Linked DNA regions of Schizosaccharomyces pombe. The gene in region 2 interacts genetically with the main gene of each other region. Each region holds a gene or a part of one and is shown on either strand. Other genes may lie near its edges.

What was found.
Region 1: mutations in ubp2 (region 2) and ubp4 together harm fitness more than expected from each alone (negative genetic interaction), as found in Schizosaccharomyces pombe (2 studies listed by BioGRID).

The regions. Positions count from the first base shown.
Region 1 is NC_003423.3:1,780,184-1,792,307, forward strand, and holds ubp4 (ubiquitin hydrolase Ubp4), read right to left. Parts: upstream 6,261-12,124; 5' UTR 6,232-6,260; coding exon of another isoform or gene 6,149-6,231; 5' UTR 6,066-6,148; coding exon 5,958-6,065; intron 5,898-5,957; coding exon 5,754-5,897; intron 5,751-5,753; exon of another isoform or gene 5,566-5,750; coding exon 4,036-5,565; 3' UTR 3,824-4,035; downstream 1-3,823. Other genes in the region: SPOM_SPBC18H10.05 (WD repeat-containing protein), read left to right, coding at 1-1,591; swd2 (Set1C complex subunit Swd2.1), read right to left, coding at 1,792-2,424, 2,473-2,737, 2,798-2,973; wbp4 (WW domain-binding protein 4), read left to right, coding at 3,076-3,129, 3,203-3,823; SPOM_SPBC18H10.09 (zf-CHY type zinc finger protein), read left to right, coding at 6,149-6,231, 6,295-7,424, 7,460-7,734; splicing-associated factor Saf4, read right to left, coding at 7,864-8,253, 8,309-8,557, 8,603-8,863; PPR repeat-containing protein Ppr2, read right to left, coding at 9,201-10,499; RNase MRP subunit, ribosomal protein L7-like Rpl701, read right to left, coding at 10,836-11,462, 11,904-12,032.
Region 2 is NC_003424.3:3,481,918-3,495,342, forward strand, and holds ubp2 (ubiquitin hydrolase Ubp2), read left to right. Parts: upstream 1-5,276; 5' UTR 5,277-5,407; coding exon 5,408-8,767; intron 8,768-8,851; coding exon 8,852-8,917; 3' UTR 8,918-9,182; downstream 9,183-13,425. Other genes in the region: spg4 (AAA domain-containing protein), read left to right, coding at 1-2,217; hrb1 (RNA-binding and mRNA export factor), read left to right, coding at 2,761-2,781, 2,819-3,148, 3,324-3,425, 3,465-3,566, 3,665-4,057, 4,139-4,585; bsd1 (heavy metal ion homeostasis protein), read right to left, coding at 9,666-10,481, 10,550-10,567; tubulin specific chaperone cofactor C Tbc1, read right to left, coding at 11,175-11,357, 11,589-12,154, 12,236-12,266; odc1 (2-oxoadipate/2-oxoglutarate transporter), read left to right, coding at 12,793-12,858, 13,130-13,425.

The DNA.
Region 1 (12,124 bases), on a different chromosome or scaffold from region 2:
AAAAAGACCCTTCAGACCTTTAACAATTCAACAAGATGAAGATGTAGAAAACGACACTGGTATGAACACCGAATATAATGATGACAATTCTAGCTTAGTTAACACACCCCGAGACTCTACTACGTATGCCGAGACGAATTCACCAAACACGGAAAAATTGGCCGGAAGAGATGATGATCGATCTCTACTGAACTTGATTGATCGTGGTGAGATCGATAGTAAAAGACAGAGACATTACGTTCCCGTCCATTGTAAACGAATGCCCAAAAAGGAGATCACACTTAATCAAAAACTTTACGTTTCTCAAGTTATAGGTCCGGCTGATGCTCCAAAGTCAAAAACTATTTTTGGCAAGCGAATTATGCAATGGGAGCCTTCTCAATTTAAAGAATCTGTGTGGGCCTCCGAAATTAGCAAAAGTGGAAAATATCTGGCCACCGCTGGTAAAGATGCAATAATTCGTGTGTGGAAAGTAATTGAAACACCAGAAAGAAGAGAAACTTTACTCAAAGAAGGTCCTCAAAGTTGTGGTCGTTTCTTTACCCCTTCTAGCATTTTTGAACCTGAACCTGTCCTAGAATGTGTAGGTCACAACGCAGAAGTCCTTTCCATTTCATGGAGCAAAAATGATTTTTTATTAACTAGCTCTGCGGATAGAACCGTTAGGCTTTGGCATCCAAAATCAACCAAATCCTTGGCGGTTTTCAGGCACAATGAGATTGTTACATGTGTCGCATTTCACCCGATCGACGATCGTTATTTTGTTTCTGGTTCCCTTGATTGCAAAATTCAGTTATGGTCCATTTTACGCCATAAAATATTGCATTGGACGGAACTTGAATATGTCGTTTCTACTATTTGTTTTTATCCAGACGGTGAGTCGATCGTTGTGGGCATGTTCTACGGATTATGTGCAATATATGAAACTAAAAATTTACAATATGTGTCCTCATGGCTAATTCATCATTCTCCCTCAAGAAATAAAAAATGCCGAGTCACTGGATTACAGTGCGCATCTATCATTCCAAACGATTCAAAATCCGACAACGTTGTTTTAGTATCTACTAATGACAATGCTATCCGGTTATACAACACGGTCACTCACGCTTTAGTGTTGAAACTGAGTGATGCTCATCGTGTTAATGGCAGAGTACTTTCTCGTTTAAGTGAAGACAACAGTTATATCATTAGTGGAAGTGATACTAATGAAGTAGTTTTATGGCATATTCCCAACAAGGTACTCATCAATGCATCAAGAAAACGCTCTGTCATTCTCCATTTGCCCACGGAAACATTCAAGGTTTGTAGTGAGAGACTGACTTCGACCATCATTGCACCAGCAAGGACTGCTGTCGAAGCTAAAGAGTCGGAACATGATCGCAGTTTAATTGCAGAAGGATACAATCTAGTAAAACCTCATAGTCACAGATCATATGGAACACCTCCTGTACATCCGATTGATATAATAATTGCTACCAACATGGCAGGTATGACTATTGTCTTGTGTGTTGATTATGATTTGGGGAATTCCCATCATGGATTTAGAAACTCAAAATTTGGACACTTTGTGAAGCGTTTATTACGAACCTAATCTCGATTCAAAACTAATATTACTTTACCTTTTTTTATTTTGTTTAAGTCTTCTAAGTCATTCAGGTGTCATTTAAAATAGAGGACTCATTTTTTCCCCCTTTTAAATAATAGTTATGAAGTTTTTTTATGAAATTGTTTTTAATAATAGTATAATATAATATTCATTTTTTCGTGGTTTGTTAAGACACAAAAACAATTTTACGTCCAGAAAATTACTCCAGAATGTGCTGTAACTAATTGAGAGAAGCGTGGATTAAAGCGAACAATAGAAGGTGTTTCTGGTAAAAGGTTTTTAGATGTTGAAGAAGGAATGATAGCTAGCGGGTTCTCTGTTGAATGACTATTGCTGGTCGGAGTAGTTGATGCTAGGCCCATTTCGGTGAATGAATTAACAATGTGATCCGAGTTAACAGTTTGTTTCAGTTCTGGTAGTTGATACATGCAAAGATGCTCATTATCATATGAAGTAAAAAGAAATTTACTATCTGGAGACATGCAAGCTGAAGCATAATAAGTCAAATTTCCATCTTGGGTTTTTGTGCTAACCTTTGAAGGAACTCTTAATAATTCACTTCCACTATAAGCGTCTATAACGTAATGAAAATCATTTCCAGTTGTTAGCAATAGATATTTACCATCAGTACTGAATTCCACATTTGCAATGCGGACATGAGGGGGCAGGAATGTTAAAGGAATGTCTTGAAATGGGCGAGCATCAAATGATTTAATGTTATAAAGAGAAATTTTGTATTTTCTTTCACTAACTGAGGCAAAGATTAGTCCTGTAGCATCAAAAGCTGCAACAACGGGTGAACTAACATTGAGCAAACCCTACGTATTCCTAGTTAGTTTGATTATCAGTAATTGTTATACTCATACCTGGCAATTTGGAGACCGAAGGTCCCAAAGGCGAATAGTATTATCTAAAGAAGCGCTTAAAAAAGTTTCATCTGCTGGTGATACATCGATTGAAGTCACTGTTTGCTTATGGCCAGGAAAATATCGAAGATACCGATTTGTCACAACGTCTAAATAACGAACGGTATTGTCTTCCTTTGTGGAAGCATGTATTAATGAATTTGAATGATGAGTAAACCGACCTAAATGTGCTCCGTACTTTTTGCTTGCAAGTGATTTCACAAATCTAGAAGTTCATGGTCAGTTAGCCAAACAGGTTTCAAAAGTGAATTTAAGAAGTACTTACTTTCCAGAAATGCAGTTATACAGTTGTAAAGTATCATCAGTACACGACGCCAAGCACAACTCTCCACTGTCGTCAAAACTGAGAGAGGTAATTTCACCAACAAAATTCTGATTTTTCAGCCATTTTCTTGGTTGCATAGACGACAACAAGTCAAAAGTAATTGAAACTGTTGTCATTACTAAATAACGGTATGCTAAAAGGTGGGTTTCCTGAGAAAAATATATGGGTAAATAAGTTTTAAGTATGTATTTAGTGCGTATCTCCTATTAATATTCAGAATGGCTGATTACTGGAAAAGTATTCCAAAATATTATTGTAAATATTGCCAAATAGTAAGTTTTTTCTATAACATCCAAAAATTATTTCTAAAGTGGTGAAATTAATAGAATCCTACTAACAGTACAGTTCGTGAAAGATACACCATTTGCGCGACGGAGCCATGAGCAAACTTATAAACATCAGGATGCTATTAAAAAAGTAATGGATGATATTCATCGTTCCAACCTTTTAAGGCAGGAACTTGAGAAGAATTTATCTATACCAAAATCAGCTACTGCTACCACTGCTTCAGCGGTGTCATCTGAACTAGCATCGTATGAGAAACCAAAAAAGGAGCATCCAAAATTACGTCCCTCTAAAAAAAAAGCTACTTTGGATGATTGGGATATTCCTACAAGTTCTACGGAGACTGACACCATCTCTACTACTCATACCAGCTATATTCCTACATTGCTAGCAAAGCAAGAAGAAAATGAAGAAACCAAGGAAACAACTACTAATAAAAATGAGTCTCTACCAGGGACCTCTTTGAAAAGAAACAGAGAGATCATCGAAAAAGAAGAAAGATCTTCATTTCATTTTCGGGTAAAACCAAAAAACTTAGATAAAGTACCTAAGTTAGCTGAAAACGAGGGAAACAAATCGCTAGAAAGCAAGGAATCAAATGAAAACAAAGTGGTGTTTAAAAAGAAAAAGTCTGGAAAGTTAAGAACAAAATCTTCCTTAAAAGAATATGATCAATCTTGAAGAAAAAAACCATCTTTGTTTAAAAAAAATTCTAGGATGAAAAAATTTTGTATCCAATTCCTGCATTCTGTTCAACATAACGAGAGTAGCTTTTGTGTTGGGTAATCAGCATTAAGTAAGTATTCATATCGGTTATGAATGCTAAGTTGAACATTTATTCAATAACTATATTTGAGGTTTATTGAAAACATTTTTCCTTTTTTTATTTTGTTTTATTTAACATTTCTTTTCAAAGTCATTTTGGGACACTTATCTTCAAACTCCTCCAACAGACTTGAGCGTTTATAAAAAAGAATGTAGGAAGAGGAGAAATCTTCTCTCAAGTCAGTAATACCGCCCACTGTTCGAACAATTGAGTCATCAATATGGCACCATTCATTATTAAAAAGTACATCAGATATATAATGTCCATTTTCGAGCTGGCCATAATGACAGATAAATGCAAACAGGTTATAATTGCTAGGAATATAACCAATTCCCGATTGGAAACTCGGTGGTACCAGCATTTTACTTGGAATCTGTAAGCTCAATCCAAGTGGTGTATCAATTTTTTTACGACCCATTACGGATATTTTAAATCTCTGAATTTGTATGATCAAATATTCAGGTAGTTTCGAAATCATAATTACTTTTTTTGCCGACCTTTGAACCTTGCACACGGGACAATGCCATCCATCATGCCCTTGCAAGAGTTCAGGAGCTGAAAATTTTAATAAGCATTCTTGTAGGCTTACTACATGGGAGACATCGTCAATCGGTATCGCAAGCGATGTGAAGGGAGCAAAAGTAGTAGATGTGCGGCCACATGTCATACATTGAGTACGACTGCAAAGTTGACCTACAAAATTGTTGACCACAATACTCTTGTTAGACCGGAGATGCAAGTTCCATTCAATGTGTGAAAAGTGGGACAATGGGAGTTCTTCTCTGGCACTTAATTGATCTTCCGTCAACGGTGCTATCGGAGACCGAGATGCATTGGAGTTCAAATCTTCATGAAGTTTATCAAGAAAGAAATTTAAAAATTCTTGAGCATCGCATTGGCCATCGATGGAGAAATCTCTATTCAATGACTGTACAATTTCTAAAAAATTCCTTGGAGATATTGATCTCTGACCATGGTTTAATAAGACACTTTGAAGCAAGGAAAAGAAAGCAGATGTGATTTTTCCACCGGTACCCAATGGATTTTTGGTATTGATATTTTGAAGCAATCCTCTCCCCTGTAACATAGGAATAGTCAAGTCCTTACACGCAAAAAGACATTGCAGGACACAATTCATGTAACAAGTATTACCCAAATTCGTTAAACCTATAGGCTGATAATTTTCATACGATAAAGAACTATCAACTTTCTTAGGGTTCGCCAATTCCATGAAATGAGGATCCAACTTCAACGAACGTAACATCGAGTAAAGCTTGTAAGCCAAAGAAACGTCTTCGAAGTATCTTTCCAAACTGTAACAAATAACCATGCTTGGATGAAAAGGTGCGGATTTTAAAAAGTCATATATTTTTGAAGAATCCATCGATTGCAAACAGGATATTGGGATGGCAATCGTGTGCTTCGAAAAAACATAACCCTTTGAAGACTCTTGGGAATAGAAATTAAGAAAAAGAACTTTAAGTGATGATTTTTTTGATAGGGAAAGAGCGTCAGAGATTTGAATTACAGGCAAATAATGCTTCACCGCTAATTTGCTTTTTATAGTAAAGGCTTTGGAAACGGCTTGAATTGCTAACTAAAAGGACATGTTAGTATTCAAGATTGTAACTTGAACAAAAAATAAATTAAGTTTGCTTCAAAGATCATAATTAGTACAGTCTCGTCAACTATATCAAATTTATCTGACGAGAAGGCTAGGGAGCTTTGAATACAAAATTTTCGTGTTTTGAGCATTAAAAAAAATACTATGTACAATGTCGATACCTTTTGGAACTGTTTGAATTCTCCATAATGAGTAGACTTAACAGAAATCTCGAATCGGCATGGAATTTCGTAAGCAAGTTTTAGTGCTTTTAAATAGTAATAGTATGCTTTGAGTAATGAATTTTTTTGTTCAAGAGTTTGGGCCTCAAAACTGTTAGTAATTGAAGCACATTACTATAAACGGCACGGAAAAATTAGACATACCTCTTCAAGCCAGCGTTGTCCTCTGAAGGAACAGCTTTGAATCGTTTCATCTTCATTAATATAAACGAATGCTAATTCAAATAGTCTGTCGAAATAATCATCGGACATCCGAGGAAGAACCGAGTATTTGTGTTGGCGACTTAACCTGAATTGAACCAAATACTACAAGACTATAGCCTTTTTTGGTTATTATGGTTTCAATTGAAGCTATGAAGGATTCAAATTGGGACTTGCAGATACAAGTATTCCGGCGAAGGCTTAATCCGGAAGTTATGTAAGTACTAAGCAGGTTAGCTGTGGGTTAGTTAATGTAAACATCTTTATTAACTAGTACCAGAGAGGCAAGAAATGAGATTTTCTTATCCTTGCCCAGTGATCATGGATTGATTACTTTAGTTATAAATAAAGATAAACCGTTTCAAATATCGGTATTACTTGAAAAAAATCAAGAGTTCATGCAAACGGCAATGAATAAGTACGTTGAAACGGCATTTCAAAATCAGAAAACAACTTTGACAAGTTTATTTAATTATTTGTTACAAAATTGGAAATCATTTGAGACATGCAATACAAAAGAGCGTGAGTTGATGGTTCAACAAGTCGATTCTAAGAAACCAGAAACCCCAACTGACTTAGAGCCGTTGGCAAATAAGCTTGAAGGACCTCTATCAGAGAGGGTTCATTTGAACACTACACTTGACTATGAAGTACTGCGTGGTCAAAATCACTGTCAAAAGCAGAATACTACCCAAACAAAAACTACCATCTCTGGCTCTGAACAGTTATTCAATGATGAAAAGCCAAAAAAAATTATTTATTCAAAAGGAGGAAACGATGGGAAAGAAGATGATCTACAAAATGTTAATGAACCACAGGATGCTTACAGTAACGATCATGACATTCAGAGCAAAGACACAGAGCTTCTGGGTAACGAATACTGCTTAGAATGGAAGAATCCGCATTTAACTAATGTCGGTACTCTCAAAGCACCAATTTTACGTTTGGTCATAAAGTGTGTTCGGTGCCATTATGGAAGTGAAATTTCTATTGCTACAAAATTTTCTCTTGTTTGCAATAAGTGTAGTAATACTCTAAGATTAGTTTGGGTGCCTGGTGTGATTCACCCAAATAATGCCCGTTTAGGTATCCTCCATACTTTAGGATGTGTACCGGTTGACGTGATGCCCATTGACTGTCAGGTCTCTTGTATGGAATGTGTTGATGAGCAGATAACATCCTTTAAAGGTATTTCTTCCATGCAGCCCATGCTACAGTTTTGTAAAGTATGCAAAAACAGAATCTTGGTTGAACATCAAGATACCGAATTTCATTTGTTAAAACAACGACAAAGTTCAATGGGCGGGAAGGTGAGCGCAAAAAAGAAGCAAAAACAAAACTTAAACATTACGAAAGGATTGCCACTTCCCAATAATGGTGCTTGCGAACATTACAAAAAATCATTCAGATGTAAGTCGTTTATAAAATTCATAATTAACAATCAGGGTTTCGTTTTTCATGTTGTGATCGTGTTTATCCATGTGATGAATGTCATGACGCTGATCAAAATCATACATTTGAGCATGCTAATCGAATAATATGTGGGTACTGTGCCATGGAATCTTTCTACAAAAAGGATGCAACTTGCCCCCATTGTGGAAATATGACTGTGAAAAAACAAACCAGTGCCTACTGGGAGGGAGGAAAAGGAATGCGCGATCGCGTTCGCATGAGTAGGAAGGATCCAAGGAAGTACAAAAGGAAGCATCACGGTAATTAATTGGGTTGCATGACATCCATATTTTTTTGCTTCATTAGATACCCATATTGTATAAAAATTTAATGAATAACAAGTAGTTAATCTTTTGATAGAAGATACTTTTAAAGTCTTCGTATTTAACCAAAATAATTATCCTTCATCATCACTCACTTCATAATTGACGAGAGAAACCGAATTATCTTCAAGGATTTTCTCTCCCTTTAAATTTTCTGTAGGAAATTTCCTTTGCTCGCTCCTTAGCTTCTCGGAAGGGACAAATTTTCGAGCAAAAGGATCTTTTTTTGCGAATGAAGTCTCAGCAAACTTTGCAAAAGTCGAAAATGTTCTAGAAGAGGGCATTAATGTTCTTCTATAATCTAATTTCCTTATAAATTTATTCTTTCCTAATTCGTTATCTAGCAACAATAATGCCTTATCCTTGTCAGAAGAAGAGGGTGGTAATATATCAATGTCCAACGCTGCACGGTTTTTGAGAGATAGATCTTTAGCTTCTTGCTTTTTTTCAATTTTTTTCCTTTCCTAAGTTATGGGTTAGTTAATATGAAAATTTTAACGCAAAACAAATTCTTCTTACCCGAAACTGTTTTCGCAGCCTCTGAGAAGAAACGAAAGGATCCGACCAAAGCCTTTCATTTTTCTCATATATAAAGTTTATTACAGAACTATTATGCTTTTCTGACTTTTGCTGAGTTAATTGGGTTTCCAGCGCTTCAATTGCATCAGACGGCACCTTTTCGTCGTTTTCAGCTTTTGCAGGACGTTCATTGATGTCTTGAGGTTCAATTTTCCTTCTGCCTCCAGAAGCAACGATGTATTCTGTATTCTATTTATGTCAGTAACAAATTTGTTAAATTAATCAAACCAGTACCTTAGGATCCGTATGTACATCGATAGGGTTTGAGCATAAATGACATTTTAAGCTGAATGACCATATTTTCGTAGTATAGTATGAGCCAATCTCTTTTTTAACAGCATTGAATCTAGTGCCTTGTTGAATGATATTTTCACAATTGTTGCACCACACTGGAAATGGCATTTCAAACCGAATTACATTTCGTAATTTATCAAATTTTCTTTTAGCATTCGGCCCTTCCGGGGGAATATATTTCCCCATATTAAATCCTTGCATTTTTAGTGAGTATATAGCTCTTTATGCCCAAAATCAGTAGTTCCTAAGTTAATACTACGTCTAGGTGAAGTTCAGGCTAAATCAGTGGCATGCAACAGAAACATAATTATAACTCTTAGTTAATTCATGGCTTTTCAACAAACAATTTTAAATTACGTTTGCTAAATTGACGTTAAAATAATAAGGGTTCCATTCTACAGTTTCAAACGGACAAGGTAAACATGTACAAATAAATAAATTACATGACGATTATTTGAATTCATTTCTTATAAATTAATAGAAAATTATAAATGACATAAAAAGGTATCGATGAATTATTAAACACTTGATGATATTTTTAGGTTGCTTCAACGGGGACGTTCAATTTCTTGGCCAAGTCTAAGAAGCTTTTCGTGTAGCTATAAAATTTCGGCCTTTTGCATAATGATAAGACAATCAAAAATGTCTGCTGAGTAGGGAAAGGACCGTTATGCGACATCCTTTTAATGGTATTTAAGCATTCAGCTGCTTGGCCCTGCTGAACAAGGTTACGTAGCTTCTCATGATATACTTGAAGATTTAAATCAAATTTGTGACTTTCCTCAAAATACTTCCAATACCTTGCTAACAAATCACCGTTTTGTATTTGACGAATGACCTGTAATGCTGTAACCAAACTTCTTGAAGTACAATCGCAATATGGGGGTAAAGGATAACGCAAGTTGGAATCTTCGAAAATCTGATATTCCAATCCCATCACTTTTGTAAGAATATTTAACCCCACGTTTCTCACTTGAGGCGAGTTGCTAGTAGCCAGAAGTTTCACAAAGGAACAAATAAGACTTTCATCAACTGCTATTCCTTTCTTTTGGCATTCAAGGACAAAATAATTCCAAAGATTCGTCCCCATCTTTAACACTTCTTCACGTTGTTCCGGATTGAACATAGAAAAGTCGTTCAAAAGTCGAAGAATTTGAGATCCACTATAGAAATCCAATGTTTGTTTGATGGATGGAATAATCATTGACACCAATACCATACTTTTAAGCTTTAGACTACACTTGGATATAATTCGTATGTGATGCAAATTGGATGTGACATTATTAGACTCCTTGAGAGCACTAGCTGTTACCTTTTCACTATATTCACGTAGTTTAGAAAAATTTCCTTGCTTATTCTTTTCAATAGCATCGCAAAATCCCTTTAGAAGAATGGAGTATGTATGATCGCTAGGTTTTTGTTGGCGCTTTTTCATATCATTGTACAAAGACCAAGCAGCGTTGTAATGCCCTTTAGCTAAATGATATTGTAGTACAAGGTTATAGGCAACCGTCTTCTTGGCATTTGATCTCTCGTACAGTAAATGCAATGCTTTCTCTAAAGACTCTTTTTGAAGTAACGAAGATACATTTTTAGCCAGTTTGAAACCATCGTTTCTTATTAAGGATGACTTAGTTTTTTTATTTCGAAACTCATTTAGATTGTTGACTTGCTCCTTGAATTTCAAAGCATCAGCGATTAAAAGGCGCTTTCGTACTAATTTCCGCGCATTACTTACTGAAACACTATACGTGGTTGCAAATTCCCGCAAGCAGAAGCGGTTTAGGAGCAAATCGACAAAGGCCCTTCGCGGAAATGTCCTTTTAATGAATTGCATTAAACAAACCACTAGTTTATTCAAGTTTAGGATTAAAACCGCGTTAGTAGGAAGTAAGTTATAAAATATGAGTTGTTACGAATGAAGACACTACATCATTAGTTCAACCATCGTCTTATGTACAACGTTGAGTAAAAGTGCTGTTTGACGAGGTAAAATTACTATATGCACACAAAAGATTGCAAAAATGAGTTAACAAAGCTAATTACAATGAAAGTAACTACTAGCGATGAATTTACTAATAACACCTAATGACCAAAACAACTAAATCTACTTGTTGTAAATTATTTTGTCAAAGCTAGGAAAGATATGGTTATTTTTAACATCTACACCAAATTAAAGCATCTTTCTAACGAGAGAGTTAATATGCTCATCACGCTTGCCAGCATCACCACCTTCGATGAAATGCTTGAACTTGCGATCTCTCCAGCCACCCAAGGGAGAAGAAAGTTGGAAGGGCCAGATGAAGTTGGCAGCTTGCTTGAAGTTGGGACCGACGGTGTAAATTTCGTGAATCAAATCCTCGATAGACAAGATAGAGTACTTGCCCAAAGCAGCTTCGATGATAGCATTGTCAGAAAGAGCAATGCGTTGTTTGTTGACCTTACCAAAACCACGCTTGTAAAGGAGCTCACGAACAGTCTTGAGGTTAGGAATACCATAAGTAACATAAGGTTCAACGACTTGAAGCATTTCTTTGGTAGCCTTGTTAAATTTAACAAAGACACCGTTGTTGATTTGAATAAGACGGAGTAATTGCATGATCTTACGGGCCTTGGGAGGAATGTTGTTGATACCACGAATACGGATGACAAAGACCAACTTGGTTTCGTCAGGGACGTAGTAGTTGCCCTCAGCACGAGCCTTGCGACCGAGTTCGATTTGCTCACGTTCGGCCTTGCGGTACTCAGCATCGTAAGATTCGGCGCGCTTTGCAATGAGCTCACGCTTCTTTTGTTGAGCCTAAACATAACAGTTAATACAGTAGAAATTTTGTGAAATTAGAATGGATGTAATTTAGATGGAAAGAAATAAATAAAGAGAAAAGTAGAAAAACAGTAATCAGTCCCGAAAGATGGTAAATTGTGGAACGCGCACAGCCTAAGCTAGCTATCCGAAATTTGTTGTCATCATCTTGTTTTTCATATTTCTCAATTATCTGCTTTATTATTGCTTATAAAAATAAAGCAATCATAAAAAATTCCATGACAGGCTAAAGCGTTTGACTAATTTTTGGGAGGTGAAAACCCTTGCAAACCGATCAAAATGAATGTGGGAGGGTTCTATCTAGATGAAAAAACACAATCTGTAGTGTACTTTATAGATAAACTCTTCATCATTCAAAAGATTTCTGTACTTTATTCAATCCATCCAAAGACAAATATCCATAGACAAAACACTTACAGCTTTCTTCTCGGCAGCGGCAGCAACACGCTGTTCACGAGACTGCTCTTGGGTCTTCTTCTTCTTCAAAAGAGACTCAGGAGCAAAGATTTGCTCCTTTGAGGGGACCGTTGACGATGCTACAGCCATGATGGTGGATGTCTGGTGGTAAAGTTGGTAAGAAAAGACTAGTGGTCAACTTTTCCCATGAGCAGTCACAAAAGTTTCGACACAAATTTGTG
Region 2 (13,425 bases):
GAAGACTGCTATAACGTCACACAGTCATATGCCGCCGTTGCAATTCATAAAGAGCAGACTGCTGACTATGTGGAGGCTATCGCTTTATTTCAAAAGGCCAAGCGGAACATTCTCATGAATCCAGAGTTTAAGTATGCGAGGGAACGCTTACACGTGATGGATTATGAAGATAGACATTATGTGGAAACATTACTCTGCATGTTGGAGCAGTTGACCATTCGAATTGAGTTCCTTACCAAAGAGATTGCGCAACAAGAAGCTGCTTATAAGGATATTCAAAATACACAAAAGTCACTTGTAACACAATCTTCTACTGGTAGCGCTAATGTTGCTTATATAAGTGGAAATGGTCCTGGCGATCGCTCATTTATCGATGATGGTAACTATAGTGCGTCTTCTTTTGAGCGTCAAAATAGAACAGCTCCTTTACAATCTAAAGTGACAACGGCATCCTTAAAACCTAATATTCCGCGAACATCTATGTCCTCTTCACCTACAGCTTCGCGGACTTCGTTGCGTAAAGGCGCTGGTGAACTAGAAACACATAGCGCTGTTAAATCTGCTAAAAAGGCCAGTGTCAAGAGTAAATCAGTGCTTCCTCCAAGTAAATCGCTTGCTAGGACTGGACTTCCAGCTGAAGTCTCTACCCAGAACAATGCCAATCGAGCAGCTCTATTGGCTTGGGGATCTTTGAATTCATCTAAGCCTAAGCATGCTCTCCCGCCATCATACATATCATCGGAAGCAGCGCAGGCATCTCGATCATCGTTTCAGGTTGAGCGTCATCGTCCAACTCCCGATAACTCCGCCGTTATTGAAGCTGCCCGCCGAACTTACTCTTCTATTTCCTCCTCTTCCTCACCCTTCAAAAAGAAAACGCAATCCCATCTCCCTAATCGTACCACTGAAGTACCTTCTATATCAAAACAGTTATCAAAGTCATCTACCTCAATCGCAACCGTCGCGCCATCTCTCGCTTCTGTTTCGTCAGTTACAAAATCGCCATCTCCCACTCCTCAGTCAGCTCCACGAGCTCAATCTGCTTCCACTGAAACTGCGCAAGATCTGGATTTCCTTACACCGCCACGTTTATCTGTGAACAACCCTTTTCTGAGTGATCTCTATCCAGCTTCCGAACAGGGGCTTTCTTCCTGTGAAGAGAAAGATTCGCCGGTTGATGGCGATGAATTTTTCAACCACACAAACGAAGAAGAGATTATTGAAAAGCAGTTTCAATCCACATCTATCTCTGCAATGACTTCTGAAAAGCAAGAACAAATTCTGCGTGAATGTCCAGACATCGACGAAGAGCTTGGTAAGAGTATACTTCGAGAAATCGTGGTTTCGGGTGATGAAGTTCATTGGGATGATATTTCTGGGTTAGAATTTGCTAAGCACTCTTTAAAAGAGGCAGTGGTGTATCCGTTCTTGCGTCCAGATTTGTTCCAAGGCTTGCGGGAACCAGCTAGGGGGATGCTTCTTTTTGGGCCTCCAGGAACTGGTAAGACAATGCTTGCGCGAGCTGTTGCTACTGAATCCCGTTCTGTCTTTTTTTCTATTTCAGCTTCTAGTTTAACATCCAAGTTTTTGGGTGAATCCGAAAAACTTGTTCGTGCTCTCTTCACTTTAGCAAAAAAGCTGTCTCCAAGCATCATTTTTGTTGACGAAATTGATTCACTGCTTTCTGCTAGAAGCAGTGATGGAAATGAGCATGAAACATCGAGAAGAATAAAAACAGAATTCTTAATTCAGTGGTCTTCGCTTGCAAGAGCAGCTGCATCTCGACAAACCGCCGATCACCCAAGAGTTCTAGTGCTTGCCGCTACCAATTTGCCTTGGTGTATCGACGATGCTGCTCGTAGACGATTTGTCCGTCGTACCTACATTCCCCTCCCTGATGAGACCACTCGTCGCTTACATTTAAATAACCTTTTAAAATATCAGAAGCATTCTCTTTCCTTAGAGGATATTGAGGCTATTGTGAAAGCAACCGAATATTACTCTGGCTCTGATTTGACAGCATTGGCAAAAGACGCAGCTATGGGGCCTTTGCGAAGTTTAGGTGAGTCTTTGCTATTCACGAAAATGGAGTCGATTAGGCCGATTAATTTAGATGACTTTAAAACTAGTATCAAGGTAATCCGGCCTAGTGTGAACTTGCAAGGGCTGGAACGATATTCAGAATGGGACAAAGAGTTCGGATCCCAAGGGCATTGAGTCTGTCTTCTTATTTAAAATTCCTAGCCTGATACCGATTTTTTTGGTAATCACGTTGAAAATTTATTTATTGTCTTTTAATACATGGCTTGTGCAAACTTATGATTATAACTAATAAGGACAACTTTTGCCTCAAGGAATTATTCATGATGATAATAATGGTGCTGTACCAAAAGCCTTTTTGTTTACTCCTAATATATTCGTTTGTCTCTTTTTTGTTGATACAATTTATGCACAGTCTTTGAATTTTTCAAACACTTAATATTAACTGAGGTTATCTCTAACCCTAGTTATTGTTTGAGTTTCCATTTTTATTACGACTCATTTACAAACAACTAAAACTCCTTACTATGATTAATTAGTCAGTACATGTCAATATTTATAATTTAAATGTTTACAGTTTTTTTATTCTATTGTTCTTTTAGCGAATCTAAGAGTTTACAGTATATCACTTACGAAATTATATTGCAGTTACACTATAGAAGTCAAGTTGTTGGGATGCTTTAATTATGTGAAGATGCACACTCAGCTTATGCTCTTGCGATGCCTAAACCTATAGAATGGGTATGATAACTATTGATTGATTTAGCTGATCAAATAGAATGAATTTGATTCAGGAATGGGTAGTAAGTTGGATGTGTCAAGTTCCTTGAATTCATCGTCTTCCAATATGGATCGTGACAGATCGGAGTCTCCGAAGCGACATGTCAACGGAAGCAATTCATTGAAACGTGGCTTGCATTTTGATGGAGAGCACACTGAAAGAGACCCTCACTTGGGAAATGGCCAAAAGTACACTCAACAAGAGCGTCGCGTGTATGTTGGTAATTTGTCATATCAAGTTCGTTGGTTTGAGTTGAAAGAGTTTATGGGACAAGTTGGCAATGTTCTTAATTGTGAGATTTTGAATCTTCCGAATGGATTATCGAAGGTAAGTTTGCTTCATAGAGGGTGGGTTTCATGCGACTAGTAAATCATTGTCTATTTAAATTGTAACGTTGAATCGATCCAATTGAACGTTACTTTTAAACGATTACTTATGGCCTATAGCTTATCCTAAAATTTGTCGTATACTCAGATTGTGAATAGTCTAGCTAATATATCAGGGATGCGCGATAATTGAGTACTCTACTGCTGAAGAAGCGCGCACGGCAATTAAAACTCTGAGCAACCAAAAATTTATGGGCCGTCTTGTTTATATCCGTGAAGTAAGATTTTTTTTATGTCGCTTATTAACCTTCGTAAAGGATCGAGAACAAAATGCAAGATTTGGCTCCTCTTCAGTATCGCCTAGCGCGTCGTCGAATGGCAAAGATTCTGAGCCAGACAGGCAATTGTTTGTTGGTAACGTAAGTTCAATTTCTAATCCTCTATATTCTTTTCCTCGAACTTTGGTATTTTAATGAATTGTGGAATTGCAAATAAGAAATGGTACTAACGAGTATAGTTACCGTATAACGTTCGCTGGCAAGATTTAAAGGATTTGTTTAGACAAGCTGGTTCTGTTATCCGAGCTGATATCCAAATGAACCAAGAAGGCCGATCCCGTGGCATTGGGATTGTTGTCATGAGTTCGATGAAAGAAGCCATGCATGCCATTCAAATGTTGCATAACACTGATTTCATGGGCCGCACTTTAGAAGTTCGCCTAGATCGGTTTGCACATCATAAAAGTAAGCCGTATTCCACTCATGGAAATGGCTATACGTTTCCAGCGGAAATGCAAATGACTACATCATCCACCTATCTACCCATGTTAGGTGCTAATACTCAAGTCGAGGATTTAGTTTATCATGCGTATCCCCATGGACCCTGCTCGGATTGCATTTACGTTGGAAATGTATGTATATAAGGACGCTTTTGTGGGATTAGTTTTCCGCATCATTTTAAGTTTTTTTTGGAGATTACTGACTGAATATAGTTACCTTGGGCCACCTCAGATCGCAATTTATTGGACCTATTCACAGATATTGGCTCAGTCATTCGTGCCCGAATCGCCTATGAGCCCACTGGCCGATCTAAAGGTTTCGGTGTCGTTCAATTTGAGAATGAAAATGATGCAGCATCCTCAATTGAAAAATTAAATGGTTATCGTTATGGCGGGAGACCCTTGCAATTATCATACGCTCACTATGCGACTCCACTACCTGCTGTCCCTACTGTGCTCTCGGGTCTTCCTTCAGTCGCTTATACACCACCTGTTATGCATATCCCTACAACGAATTCACCACTAACGCCCCAATCTTTTACAAATTCTTTCTTAGGCTATCTACCGATTTCAATGCCCGTTGCAAACATGCCCGCTATTGCTCCTATTTCTGTAGCTTTACCCGAAAATAATATTGAACATTCTTTGGAGCCTTCTTAAAAATTCGCCAATACATCTGAACTTCTTTTCTCTTTACAATTAAGCACATTTCCGTAGTGTGAATGGCTAGCTCAGTGACGACATGCGCAATGTTCTAAGGCAGTTATCCTAATATTGTTTGCTTTTCTCTATTTTTTCTTCAAATTTTTGCTTTAATTCCTAATCCCCAAATATTCTTATTTTCCATGTTTATAGATTTATCTCTTTTGTTTGATTTCAATTTTTTGCTAAGATCTTATTCTTTTCCGTGACACACCAAAGTATGCTGATGGCATATATATTCGTCTCTCGTTCTTCTAATTGAAGTCTTTTTAATTTTAGCTTTACTGTTTTTTTACAGGATGCCTAGTTTCCTTCTTTTACAATTGCTAACCATTTCATGGTTTTAATGATATTTTAGATTTTTAGACTTCCATTCTGTTAACTTCCAGTTAACCAAGTTTAATCTTTATTGATTAACTACATTATTTTTAAAGTAAGGTGTATTTAGGTTAAAAATCTTATTTAAGCATAATGGTAAATTTCGTATAGCGAAATGTAGGTGTTGATTGTTTCTTACCTTCTTTAGTAGCCTTATCAATGAAATACAAACATTTACTTCTATCTTATTCCCCACATTCATAAAATTGATGGTCGCATACCTGGCTGGCATATGTAAGACGACAAGCATCATACGCATGAAGTCTACCTACCGAGTCCTTTACTCATGAAAAATCCTTCAATCTGTACGTTCTTTCCGTTTGGACGTTTTTTCAAGTATTTTTCATAATAAAAAATTTAAATTTCTTTATTAAAATTATTTACATCAAACTATAAAGAGGAATGGCAACTGTAAAGAACTTGCGAATTGGCAAAAGTCCTAATCGGTTGATTCAAGATTTAGACGTCTTTGATAGTCCATCAGCTGGATGGAATGATCCTTGGAGTCCTCATAGCTCAAGATATCACTGGCAGCTTCATTCAAATTTAGGCGAGTCCGCTGTATTTGACGAGAATGACTTTTGGTGTGTTTGTCAAAAAACTCGCAAACACTTACATGTGAAAGTCCGAAGAGACAGGGGGAAGCCATTAATTGAAGAGCCTGAAGAAAATTATGGAATAAAAGATAGGATTCCTGTTTACTACGAAGAAGAGGAATTACCTGAACCTCATGTGACTAGCCCTACGAAAAGTGAATTCGCTACTACCTCTACTTGTATGAAATGGAGTAGCAAAACAACAAAAAGTGAAATTGAAGTTGAATGGAGAGATAGCTATCTTGATGCTAATTGTATCAAAGAGATAATTGATTCCCGACGTCCATCATTTGCTTCCCTTTTAACTAAAAAATCGTCATCTCATCAAGGGTCATCCCATTCATCCCAACCTTCTCTTTTTACTACATTTACTTCTTTGGAGTTGTTTTTACGAAACGTGTTGGTCCATAACGATCAACGTGCCATTAGCGCTGCCCCGGAAGGAACTTTTGAGAGACATGTCGGAAAGGGCCGCCAAATTCAATCTTTGATGAAATCTCTTCTGTTTGAATATCACCACGAAAATGTAAATTATGTCCCTACCATTGCGGACGCTCCCCTTACTGACGAACAAAAACTTAATCTATACCTTGCTAGGAATGAACTTATTGTTTTGGCTAATCACTTTCGTGACACTAAAGAAGATCCGGCTATTGTTGCTAACCCTTTTCCCGTTAGGTTGGCTCGACCTGCTTTAATTAATGCCTTTGGCGTTCCTAACTATGATAGCGTGGTTCCCATGTATACCACAGTTTTTCGCGACAATTCGGCCTCCTTACCTGATGATCCTGCTTTTATAGCCTTGGGTATCACGAATGATTATCCAGACAGCTTTGTCCGTTATTTCTATGAGGAACAAAAAAAGAACGATGAAGCTAATGTTCGTGTTTATGCGGATGCGCTTGCTCATATATACAATTTACGTAAAAGCAGCTTTTTGAGAGATCTAATTGCGGCAGATAGGAAAAATGGAATCGTGTCGAGCGATGTAATACAAGCCGCTTATTCGAGTTTAGGACTTGAAGCTGAGGTAGGCCCGGATTACAGGTATAGTCAAGAAAAAATCTTTGAGGCGTTTCATTCTGCCCTCCTAAGAAAACCTGAATTTGCCAGAGCTATTAGGAACGATTTGGAGACTATTGGCTATGCAAGAAAGAGTTCTGAAATTTTAAATTATGTTTTGTCTACAGAACAGGCTTTTTATACGGTTAATGAAGCCTACCAATGGTTGGGCATTAAGTCTAACACCGAGGACGCCATGGTAGCTTCTGTGGCCTTAGTGAAATTTGAAGATGATAGCGACAAAGCCATCGAGGCCGTCAAATGGATAGCTGAAGAGAGAAATAGCTCCATTTTGTACGATTTCTTGGCTTCACAAGGTAGACCTTCCAACAAGAAGCCTAAAGAAGTGCCTATGGATGAAGATCTAGCTTACAACACATTAGGTGTTCAAGATCGTGCACTATCAGATGACGTTTTAATCAATGTATACGGCTTTGCTGTTGAAGACCACCCAGAGCAATCAGACACTTTGAGAGCAGCTTTGAAATGTATAGGAGAAGTTAGGAATTCGCGTTTAATCACTCATTATTTAGAACATGGAAATCTAGATATTCCACCAGAAGTTTCAAGTTTGGATACTCCGATCGGTTTGGAAAATACTGGTAATCTTTGTTATTTGAATTCCCTGATCCAATACTACTTTATTATAAAACCTCTTCGTAATGCAATTTTGGATATTGATGAAAACAAAGATCTTAATATGATTGAAAACAAGGAAGCTGTCAAGAAAGTTGGTGGACGGATTGTTACTCGAATTGAATTCTTGAGGGCTTTACAATTCACTTATGAACTCCGAAAATTATTTATTGAACTCATTACTTCAAAGTCATCGTCTGTTCATCCTTCTTCAGTACTGACATATCTTGCTTTAATACCTCTTACGTTGGACCAGGTCAAATCTGGAACATCCTCGGTTATGGATTTGTCATCGTCTCGAGAGTTGAGCAATTTGAATGAGAGATCTATCACTATTGACCCCAGAGCAGAAGAGCAAGCTCAAGGGCTTGAACAAGAACAAGGACAGGATGAGGCCAAAAGTCCAGCGGAACAATCTTCATCAGTTAATTTAATTGATTTTCCCATGGCCAATACTAACGGAGAGTCTCAAACACAACCTCATTACTTTGAAGTATCTGAAGAAGAAATAAACTCCTCCATGGATTTAGGTCGTCAACAAGATGTCTTGGAATGTATTGATCACGTTTTGTTTCAACTGGAAGCTTCACTTGGTCGTATTTCCAACTCAGAAGATCGTCTTGGCTCTGATAATGATCTTATACGACGTTTGTTTTCTGGCAAACTAAAACAAACACTAAATGATGCTAGTCAAGGAGTACGGTCTAACTATGAGATTTTTTCTCACTTGATCGTTGACCTTTTCGAGGAGAAACAAACATTGTATGATGCATTGGATGGTGTTTTTGAAACAGTCAATATTGATATGGGAAGCGAAACTGCCCAACGATCCTTGTGTATTACTGAGCTACCGATAATTTTGCAATTACAAATACAGCGTGTCCAATTTGACAGGACTACTGGACAGCCTTTCAAGTCTAATGCATTTGTTGAATTTGGAAAAGAACTTTCCATGGACAGATATGTTGAAGATACTGATGGGAAAATGGCACCTTTACTACAAAGGTACTGGGATCTAAAGCGTGAAATTATCAACCTTCAAAAACGACAACAGCTATTGTTAACTACAAATTCGAATCTAATGTCATCTGTTGATACATTGTCTATTCTATCTAAATGGGCTGCACAGCAGCAGGATTCGAGACTTCCTATTAATCCAAAACTTCCTGATATCCTTCAAGAGGAAATAAACAATGTTGTCGCTGAAGTGGATATGCTTAAAAAACAGGAAGCCAGCTTAAAAGAAGAAAGGACGCATCTTTTCGATAATTACATCAGCCATAGCTACGACTTGCTTGCTGTATTTGTGCATCGTGGACAGGCTTCATTCGGTCATTATTGGACTTACATTCATGATTTCGAAAACAATGTGTATCGAAAATATAATGATGAATATGTTACTGTGGTAGATGAAAGCGAAATTTTTGCTGATACTACGGGCAACAATGCTAACCCTTACATGCTTACGGTAAGTCGTTATTATTTCCCATTTGAGGGAAATAATCATTTTCTCAAATTTTTTCCAGTTTACATATAGCTAACATTTATCTAGTACATTAGGAAAGAGTATCGACACATAATTGAATGTGTTCACCGTGAACACAATCTTCTGCTTTAAAAACTATGTGAAGGGTAAAAACTAGGATGGATCATCCGTGATCAATTGCTATGAATGGAGGTTGGAAGTTGTAACGTTTTTCACGATATTAAAGCATGGAAGCTATGAATTCATATTTCAAAAATCTATTTATACATAAAAATTTAGTTATACTTTATACATCGGTACGGGTTAATAATCTATTAGTCTTTACTATAAAGAGAAAATTTTTCTATGACAAAATTGCAAAAAGTCTAGCAAAAAAATTGAAATGTAAACAAACGGCTTTTATTATTAAAATGGCGATTATCGCAAATTTTATTATAAGTAGTAATCTTTGACAAAAAATGTAATTAATAGATGAAACTAGTAGAAGTTTCCAATAAATAAGTCAATAAATCACTATAGAAGTACCATGGAAAAAACATAAAAGTAGCTGTAGAATCAATAGCAGGTTTTAAGGTAATTTGAACGAGCTTTGTACAAAAATACATCAACAGTGCCGTGAATGTGCCAAGTTATTCATCAAAGAGAGCGAAAAGTAAAATGATGCGTCGTAAAAAAAATCAGGTAGGGCAAGATTAACTAATAAACTAGGTATTTAAAACAAGGATCATCCGCCCATAAACCGAAATAGAAAAAGAGAACATGTTTAAAGAAAAAATGAAAACTATAAGGGAAATAAAATCTTAACACATAAACGAAAAAGTAAGGAGCCGATTATTTTGTAAAGTATACGGCCGCAACTAAAAGAACCTATAGATCGTGACTAAACCACTTCTTCCGGAGACGTTTCACCAGGTGAGTCTGTCCGACTAATGGCATTCTTCATACGGCGTATTCTGATGAACCCAAAGGTGTCTACTAGTACCAAGCACCACCCGATTATAATGAGAATAGAGCCTATAAGCTTCTGATGTGGTAACTCGTCGTAATTGTATTGATCGTCGTTATTCTCCATCCCACTCTCCGAAATCATTATGTAGCCACGTTGAAAAAGAGTTAAACTAAGTCCAATTTGAGCACCATAACGACCCAAATGAGTCGTCGATAAGACATATGTGACAAGAAATCCTACAAAAGGAAAGAGAATAGCGACACAAGCACTCCATACAAAGGAGAAACCAGTTCCAACGGACATCCCATCAATGTAAATCTCGTTAGATCCGTAATCTGGAATTACCATAGTGGTATCCCAGTAAGGAGGGGCGGTATCCGCAGCAGCCTGTTCATAAGAAGGGGGCTCCTCTTCCAGTTCTTCAGTATTAGATTCCACTGTGGGTTTAGCAGATAAATTAGAGAAGACACTATCAACGTGATGGCCATCTGCATGATTTGATGAAGTGCTGGGAATTCGATCATTGCTACTACGTACATGCCCAGAGTCGTTGCCAGGATCCGGCGTTGATAAATGTTGGTAAAAAGCTTCTTCTCCTTCTATTGATGCTCTGGCAGAGCTATATAAAGGTGCTGTTTCACTGTATTCCACATCGTCGTCTGGAGGCTCGAAAGCAGCTGCCAATTCCGATCGATTTGTAGACCGGTTTTCCGGAAATTCAGGTATTGGAGTATGAATTGAATTTTGCTAAAATAGATTTGTTAGACTGATATATCAGGGAATTTAAACAGTATAAAAAGAAGGCTTATCCTTACATTTGAATTAGTACTCATGGGAATTGTGATATCTTTCAACCCGTATATAATGAGGTAAAGTGATTAATGAACGTTCCCAAAAATTTCCGTATTTTTGTTTTTTAACCCACTAAATGCTCTTTGATTTTAAATTAACAGAGTGGTGGAAGAGTACAGGATGGATCGAAACCATGGTATTATTAATGATCGTTACTTGCAAGTAACAACTATATTCAAAATCTGTAGAGAAATCAGATTAAAAAAAAAATATGGGAATTGAGTGTTTTAGGTGACATATCAGAAGCTAAATTCCCGTTATAAATTATTTTTGATATCTATTCTTTTCAATAAACCAAACAAGCCAATTGAAATCAATGGCTTGGGTTATAACAATTAGTGATCAGATATGTATTCCGACAAGAAGTGGTATAAAAAGTCGAAAATGAGAAACAAGGAATCTCAAAGGATTTACTGATATAATCGACTTGGTGGTAAGATGGATGGATGACATGAATGATTAGAAAGGCGTACGAAAGAATATTAAATTAAAAAAAAAAAGCACCAACGAGTGTATGTCAGTAAAAGACCAAGCTAAACCGTTACGTATTTTTACTAATGGATGATTTTGGTGCATACATATAGAATTTTAAGCGTCAAAAAGGTCACTAGTGATACGAAAATGTGGAGACGGGTCAGAGCGTGCCCAAGTAAAATCCAAAATAGGATGCTCATCTTTATAAGAAAAGGATATCTCCTTTGATTCTTCAATGACGGGCGATGTTTTGCATCGCAGGTGCACACGAAGGTTGGTAGAATGGTGAAGACGAAACTAGAAGGCGTTAGCGATATAATCAATCAAAAGAAGGGCCAGAAGGCAAAGTAAAATCAAACAGTAGAAAGCATTATCAATTTTGTTTACACAGCATTGTTGTGATCCATACTAAGAATATGGGATCTAAATATTGACAACCTAATATAATGATAGCAGTCTCTACGTCTAACTAATAGTTTCCATCAAAACCATCGTCTAGATGCCTTCAAATTTATCAAAAAAACTTACTTGGTGACACGATACACAGATTGTTGAGTCGTTAATATCAGAAAGATGGATAGAACCCTGAATGGTTGGGAAAGTAAAGTTGCATTTTGTAGCGTTATGTAAGTTCACAGATGAGCAGTTGGATATGGAAATATTGCATGATCGTAAACTTTTTGCGGAAACTTTGACAGCTTTGTTGTTAGGATATGGAATGACATTATCTCCAATGTTTTGGTTTTTCAAATTTGCCAAGTACAGGGTGTCATTTTCAAAATAAACTTCTGGAGCTTCAGCATTAACTGTAATATTTTTTACCGGTTTCTGGGACGATTTGACGTGCAGTGCCCGTTGAAAGCGAAATGGCTGTCTGGGCAAAATGTCGTGTCGAATTTGCTGAAGCCTTCGTGTCAAATCTACTAGTTGTTCCATGCATACTCTCCTGTCATATGGTGCAATTTGGTCTTGAACTTCATTTAGCTCCCTCGTCATTTCACCTAAATATTTTGACTTTTCTTCAAGCCAAGTCTCTTTTTCGGAGCGAGAAGTCTGCTCACTAGGAGTGGATTTATATAATTTGGTAAGAAATTCTACAAAAAAGTAGTTAGTAAATAGCACAACAAACAGACCTTTCGATATGAACGAAATTGCAGATGTAAATAAACCCATACCTTTTCTCAATTCGACGAACTTTTCAGACATTTTTCCTTTTAAATTAGAACTAAAACACCCGTTATATATGCAAAATTAAATCACAGTACGTTATGCTGTGTTCAATGATCATTCAATAAACATATATTTTTTCAATTTTAACCTGCACCAAAAGTCATTCAAACAGCTCGGGAAAAAAAGGATTCTTAAATAAATTCATCAAATCAGTATTAGTTTTAATCTTAACTTCGATACTTCGGGTGCAAAAATTATTATGAATTTTTAAAATTGAAACCAAAAATCCAACTCTTCAAAGGCGAAGTACAGAAGACAGTGCCTTGAAATGAAAATTATCTTCACTCAACTCAAAATGACTTTAAGATTTGGAAATAAACGAAGTTTTGTCGATTTTATCGTTATGAATATTTTTAGCGGCTCTTATCTTTTATCATTGAGAATCATCTTAAATTTACCTGTATGTGAGCTCAACAGATGTTTGCCTTCCATTCCTTAACAACAACGCCCAGCAGCATTTGTTAAGTGTGAAAATTGAAGTTTAACTACTATATTATCGAAAATGCCTCATGATAATATTCCATTTCCTGTTACATTTGCTGCCGGCGCAGTTGCTGGAATCTCAGAGGTAAGGTTTTTTATTTGGAGCACTTTATTTCATTGAAAGATACGTTTGAAGGCTTTCGGAGAAGAATGTTATTATCTTCAAAATGCTCAATGAATTGCGTAAGGTAAAAGAGCTGTCTTGGAGATGAAGGAAAGCAAACGTTTGATTCCGTAGATGCTGAACGAATTACTTCTTTATAAGTTTTATCCCATGTTTTTTAAATCTCTCTTTACCTCTCTTTTACCATTAAAACCTTTAACATGGCCTTGTTTACTAACTCTTTCTTTTTCAGGTCCTAACTTTGTATCCTTTGGATGTTGTTAAAACTCGTATGCAACTGTCCGTTGGTAAATCAGACTACAATGGAACCTTTGATTGTCTCAAAAAGATCGTCAAGAATGAGGGTCCACATCGTTTGTATCGTGGAATTTTACCTCCAATCTTGATGGAGGCTCCTAAGCGTGCATTAAAATTTGCTTCCAACGATACTTATTCAAAGCTGTGGCGTAAAGTCTTCAAGAGAAAGGATTCAAGTCCTGCACTTTCTATCCTCACTGGATCATGTGCAGGATTTACTGAAACGTTCGT